Drosophila melanogaster: one gene and its partner. The protein of the gene in region 1 interacts with the protein of each later gene in a pairwise test. Each region holds a gene or a part of one and is shown on either strand. Other genes may lie near its edges.

Region 1 (3,102 bases):
CAAACGAACTCCACTTAACTCGACTTCGAGTTCTGTGTGTAATCAAGGAAGTTGTTGGCGCTCTAGTGTTTGGCAAGTTGCAACCGGCAAAAAGTTGCTGGTGCGTCTAGTTTTGTATAATTCAGTCATTAAAATTAATAAGACAATGCAGATCACACGCCCCACAAAAACACGCTGACAGCAAATCCCAAAAGGCGATGCAAGAAGTGGCCTAGCCAGGCATTTTCCAAACGTTTAGGCCTGGAGGCGGATGTGGCTATTACAAATCTAATTACATGGCGTATGAGCGATTTTCAATACTGTTTTTGGCCAGGCCAAGCTGAGTCGCACCGATAACGAGCAGATAAGGCCAGCTCAGAGTGTTGCTACTTTGCACCAATAATTACAACAAAAATCTCAGACTGGGCACTGCTTACTACAGCTAATTAAGTTGCATGTTTCATGGTGACAACCCAAAGATACAGATACAAAAGCAGTTGAGTTCGAGTTGAATTCGGGCCAGTCCCAGTGGACGCAGTCAACTTCTATTAGCCAGACTATTTAAAACTCTTGTCCATTTGTCAATATTCCAATTACTTGGAGATTGCATATGGAATTGTTTTGGAAAAGTGGATTAGCCGAAGCTCAAGTTCTTCGTGGAAATATTCACTTCCTTATGTGATTTGGCCATTACCATTACCAACTTGGTACGAGTTGGAGGCATAAATAAATTGATTAAAATATTTGTTGGTACTTTGGCCTGTTCTAATTGGTTGTAAGAAATCCCATATTTTCTTGCTTTTGGTCAAAAAGAGCAAAGTGGTTAATAAGCGCCCAATCGCTATCATGGGTTAAGCAAAAGGCAAAGCTTATATTATTTAAGAAAAGCTTACAACCAAGCTTCACTTTACGATAGCAGCTCAAAAGTATACGACTATTTTTCAAAACGACACTCAATTTTTCTGGCTTAAAACAATAGAATTGGTCACAAAGCCATAGCCATTATGTAGCTTTTTTTAACATATTTATTTGTTTCTTGTTTATCTTGGTTTTTTATTTCTGCAGCTGGAAATATTACACCCGGCGGTAAGTGCCAGTCAAAGATTTGTGCCAACTACTGCTAAACGAACCAGTGATTTACACTACCAAGCTGGCTGGGCCAAAATGTCTGCGGGCACACAGAGACCAAAGTGGACCGAATCCCAGTAACAATGGCATTCTGCAGTCGCTATGCCAACAATAAGAGCAACTTGGCCAATGATTAAATCGTTTCGGGGCCTGTCAGCGTCATGTTATGTATCTCGCTTCTGAAAACGCTCATTGTGGGCTTCTATTTTTTTTTTTTGTTTGTATATTTCTGCTTTGGTTTTTCTTCTTAATTAAATTAGAGCCAAGGTCGCCGCAAATGGGCTGGGAATCTTGGCGTGTTTGGTTAATTATAAGCAAAGTTAGAGGAAAGTATAGGCCATACACATGCGACATATGGTGTTTGGCCTACGATTTGCGTTGGTGGCACCCAAAAATAGTCGGGAAAATAGTCAGTGAGCCAGGGGAAAAAAAAAGAGTTTGGCTGTTGGTTATGCTAATGGCTTATGGCTGGAACGCTGGCCCACATCTGTGTGCCAGTCAAGTAGAAGAAATAACCAGGAGTTGGGAGCCAATTTAATGGGTGTGGGTGCTGCAACAGGTATCCACAAGTGGGTGGCTTGTTTATTTGCCTATTTACCTATTCGGCTTTAGCCTCGCCTCGGCCGAAAGCCGCTCGCTCAGTTACGCCCAAATGGGTCACTAATGAGCCATCTGGGCCTGGGAATTGGCTTGAGGAAAAACGCAAAAAACATCAGTATGGCAAAAACAAAAAAAAAAAAAACAAGACACACAAAATTTAGATGATGGCTCGATTGTTTGTGCCAATTCTAACGTAAAGAAGCCAATTCCCTTGGTCGGACTTGTATAAAACCCGAGTGACTTCTTCCACTGCCAAACATTGTTGCAGAGTTTCCCCAGCGAAGATGTTCAAAGTTGTGAGTTGCCCCTATAACACATAATATTTGGTAAATACCTAAAGCAATATCTATTCCCCTTAGGTGTTCCTTTTGTGCGGAGTATTCGCTGTCCTGATCCAGGCTCGCCCCAGCTACTTGCCCAGCTATGAGCACGTGGAATATGCTCCCAGTGTCGTAGGATACGAGAGTTATGCCCTTCCAGCCGCCGTCTCACACCAGAGTTCCACAGTGGTGCACGAGAAGCGTCCCTACTGGCGCCCCATTGTGGATCACACGCCCATCCTGAAGGCAGCCTATGCTCCAGCTACTTCGATCTCGTATGCCCCACTTGGATACGCGGGCAACAGTGCGGGATGGTACGAGCCGGGAATCTGGGGAGTATCCAGTTACCCCAGCATTTATCTGAAGTAGAACAACGAACAAAGAAACCCTTCTCCACAGAAAATCTCATTTTTGGTTATGTGTAACATATTACCTCTTCTGTATTGCAAACTTAAATGTACATCAAATATGCAATAAATAAAAACGTTCGACGTAAAGGTAATATCATAGTACCTATGATAGCTTTAGTGAACTAGCCTCTGGAATATATATAGTAATATTGGAAAACATTAGTTCTTGTTCTGGAAACGTACATAATCAAAAAACATACCAAACCAATATGGCTGGGTGCAACTGCGTCTCTTAAATCACATTTCAGTAAGTCTAAATTTTGTTGATTTTAAAGACAACCTGAATTTAATATTCAATTAAAAAAATTTTTGTTTATTTGCTGGGACAACAAATAAATAAATACAAATAAAATTCAAGCTTTGGTTTATTCAAAATGTTATTGAAGTATTTAGTTATTGTGCATCGATACCATTGTTAAATAAGTTTTGTACTTCAAATGAATTTAATTCTGTTTTTAAAACATTCAGAAATGTAGGAACACTTTTTAGAACGCTTCTTTGTAAACTTCAGAATTAATTTATATATCCCCACATCATTAAGAAATTCACATCATCTGTTTGGTATTCACAATTTAATTTATTCTTTTTTCGATTTCCTTATTTTTTTTCAACTAGAAAGGCACAGTTCAAACTCTTTCGATCCTCACCACATTACCAGGAGCCAG
Region 2 (3,931 bases), on another chromosome or scaffold:
GAGCAATCAAAACTGTCGCCTATGAAAAATGTTTTGGGGCAAATGGCGGCGAACTTTTCGCGGCTGGCGACTCGCGAACAAACAAAACAGAAAAAAAAAATAGGGAGAAAATAAAAAATGATGGCAAAAGTACACCCACGTGTACATATGTGCGCTCAACTTTGAGTATTTTCATTTTCAAATCGGTTTTTTACTTGCTTTGCGTTTTTTATTCGCTGACGCTGAAAAAGGCCGAACTAAAAAAGATACAATTTTCATGTTGGCAGTTGTAGTTTTTATTCGTATGTAATGAAATTTACGCGTTAGTTACTTACATATACTCCAAAAGATAAGACCTATAATTGTTAAAGTCTTATTTCAATTTTGGTTTTTCACAATTGAAATTGAAGTGAAAAAAAAAACAAACTTCCTATTGAAAGTTTAAATTAACTATTTGTAAATTGTGTAAGTAAATTACAGTTTTTGTCTAACTAAAACTTTTTCATTTGCGCGCAGTTTTTGCCTCCGTGAATTTTACTCCAAAAACATTTTACATTTCCCCGCAACATTTTTCATGAAAATTAGGTTTTTGTTTTATTTCATTTCGGGCTCTCTGTACAATTTTTTTTTCGAGATTTCCCGTTCGTTGTGTCCGAGTCCCAATTTGTGCGCTAAGCTTTTCCCCTCGAAGGGTAATTGCCTCATGTTTCATCTACACATCAATTAGCCGCAACAATTTAATTTGCCCGCCTGGAAATGGGAAAAGTGCGGTAGCTGGATAAAAAAAAAATAATAAGCACACAGCAATTTCAACAAGAAAAATCCATAAAATATTTGTGCAACATTTTCTCGCCGCCCAAACCTGCGGGCCGTTAGTGCGAGTGAGATGGCCAAACAACTGTCGTCAGCTATTTCAAATTGTCATAAAAATTTGATAAGGTTTTTTCCGCTGCTCCCCCAAACCACCCAACTCTGCGAATTTTTATTCCTGCGTCAGCTACAAGGCAAAAATATAACAGAAAAAAATGTTTGGGCACAAAAAGTGTTGGTTGCTCGAAAATATCATTTACAGTTAGACTGCCATGGTAGAGAATTTATAAATAAGCTAATTAATAATTATAAGCTAGTTGAAAATTAAAACTAACAAAACCGCTTTGCAAAACTAAATCATAATTATAATAGCTATATCTATTGAAATCATTTATTAAAGACCTCTTTTGAGCAATTCTTAGCCCACGAATAGCAAACTAGACTTTAAACCCAAATCCACCTTAAGTTTCGATTCTTTTCGCCTCACTTTGCGTAAATGATAATTGAACAATGGGGGCCGCCCATTGGGGCGAAAGAGAGGGGGCGTGCCAAGTGTGAGTGGCTGGCTCTCCCCATCCCTGTCGCGCTTTCGCCGCTGGTGTTGTGTGTGCATGGCAATTTGCGACGCAGAAGTAGAAGAGGAGGAAGCTAAAGAAGAAGCAGTAGCAGCAGTAGCAGCAGCAGTAGCAAAAGTAGCGGTACTGACCAGCGTCCTTTAAACGCCCGTCGCCACCTACCCCCGTTTCCTTATCTTTCGCTGTTAGCTAACAAATTTTTGCGTTGTTTTCGCTGTCTTGTCGTTTTCATTAAAATTTCATTGCTGCCGCGCAAAAATACGAAGGTACGTTGTTGCTTTTTTTTCCTCCTTTTATGACTATGTATTTTTTGCTCCTCGTTTTTTGCTCTTGTGGCAACAACAAAGTTGTTGAACTGAATTTTTTTGGGGTGTGGTCCCACACTCAAACGCACACCAGCAACGTACACACACGCTCATACACGCGCGCACACACACGCGCAGCAGCAACAACACAGCGGTAAATACAGCTGCTCAGCAAACGGTACCACCAGCAGTTGTCTCGCTCCCACTCAGTCAGGTTGTAAGCGGCGTGCGAGAGAGATGCCGCAAGAGAGTGAGAGAGAGAGAGAGAGCGAAATACTGAACGACTGGAACGGAGCGAAACTACGGCTATCTCACTCTGGCGCGCGGTAGAGAGCCGGGCAGCCATTGCTAAAAGCAGGCACTCACTCGCTCTCCCTCTCGTTTCCACCACCGCTGGTGTTTGTTTGTTGTTTTTTTCCTGCTTCTTCTTCCAACATTTTTTCTTGTTGTTTTTCTTTTTTCGCAGACTCTGGTCGAACGACTTTTGCTCTGCCCGCTGCTCGCTGCGCTGCTGCCGCCGCTGCCATCGTCCGTGGAAGGTGTACCGCAATTCATTTCCAGAGTAACTTTCGTGCCGCTCGGGTTGTTTTTGTGCGTCGTCCGTCGCCCAGTTGCTCAGTTGCTCATTCGCCCCGTTCGCCGCTCGTTCGATCGCTCTCGCCACTCGCCGCGTTCGCCGATAAGCAAGCAAGCACCAGCGCAAGCCAATAACAACAATCAATTCGCCGTCGCCAAACCGAATCAAATCAAATCGAAGCAAACTAAACCAATCAAACACAAATAAACAAATATCAACACGAGAAGCTATAGCTAACACAGCTATAGAGAAACAAAGAGCCCCAGAGGAGAATACTAAGTAATACAGAGAGATATATCCTTTTGGATATAACGCAGTGCCAAGTGACGAGAATCTGTTTTTTTACCGTGTTGCCAGTGCTAAACCATAAACATCGCCCAAAAAACATACATCTCTGGAATACAATATTTATATATATATAAATATACATATATATCTTTATATATATGCATGTGTAAAATATACTCATGCCATAACCATATAGTAGTTGGATCCGAAAACAAGTCACCATTGGAATACAGCACCGTTTTGCTTCTAGTTTTGTTTGTGTTTTTTTTTCGGTGAGTGCGATCCGCCGATATCGAGAAATCGGTAGCAATCTATATATCCAGCAAGGAATGTGGAGCCGAGAGATAAGCACGGATTACATGGGGAATCTGTAGACCTAAGTAGTTTTTGGGGGAGCGGGAATCTATCTTAGGGATTACTCTTATCAACTTGTTTATTTAGCAGAGATATTAGGTCACAAGTCTTACATTATCTATGACATATTTGAAATACACTCTTTAAACTTGGAATAATATTGAAAGATCTAACACGCTGTAAAGCTTAATTATTTTCTTTTTCGTTATCGCTTCAACTTTATTCTTGAGCCAATCTTCATTCTTCATTATAAAGCTCAGACTTTAGAGATATGTTATAATATGTTTGGTTCACTATTTTCGATTAGCCGAACTTGACAGATCTTTTGTTTTTCACTTACACTTCTACATATATTTACAAGGTTAAAATGTTCTTCCAAATGCTATAATCAACCGATATTATTTTGCCACATATACTAGTCTTTATTTAGCTTCAGATTCAATGGATCTTAGAAGTCTTTAATTGGAATACTATTCATTGATTTCGGGGACTCCCAAGTCCAACAATAGAGTTACCTATTCCATGCCCGAAACTTTGTTTCAGTTCCTTCAGCTCTTCGTGATATGATGGAGCCTTTTTTTTAAAAATCTGGTTTCGGTCAGGAAATTTCCGCCTATGACTAATGTGCTGATCGTAATGTGAGAAAATGCGCGTTTCGGAGATTCGTTATGATTTTCATAATTTTAATGGGCATATTAAGGCCGCCTCCCCTAATTAGGCAAAACAAAAAGAAGCCAGCAAGAGCCGACCAAATCGATACGAGAAATGTGATATAGAAAAAAGGCTAACAAAATGATAGGGCCAACGGCGAAGAAACCCCAAGAAAATCAATACTAGATACAATAGAAGACAGCCGACGGACCCGTTCGGGTCACATTATTCACACATATTCCCAACATCCCCACATCACCACATTCCCACTTCCCGATGTTAGCGATCGGATCGTCTAATTTCAAAGCGGCGGCTATAAATTAAAATATCTGAATAATACGTTGACTCCTCGCTGGCTACTTTGTTGTTCTGCTTTATTATTAATTTGCATA

The links.
Region 2: the proteins of CG4982 (region 1) and oc interact in a two-hybrid assay, tested with the Drosophila melanogaster proteins (one large-scale study listed by BioGRID).

The regions. Positions count from the first base shown.
Region 1 is NT_037436.4:16,299,493-16,302,594, forward strand, and holds CG4982 (uncharacterized protein), read left to right. Parts: upstream 1-1,960; 5' UTR 1,961-1,991; coding exon 1,992-2,003; intron 2,004-2,066; coding exon 2,067-2,396; 3' UTR 2,397-2,535; downstream 2,536-3,102. Other genes in the region: CG13044 (uncharacterized protein), read right to left, coding at 3,089-3,102.
Region 2 is NC_004354.4:8,648,969-8,652,899, reverse strand, and holds the start of oc (ocelliless), read left to right. Parts: upstream 1-2,218; 5' UTR 2,219-2,525; exon of another isoform or gene 2,526-2,806; intron 2,807-3,931. UniProt on the Drosophila melanogaster protein: Transcriptional regulator involved in pattern formation and cell determination in the embryonic CNS and larval imaginal disks.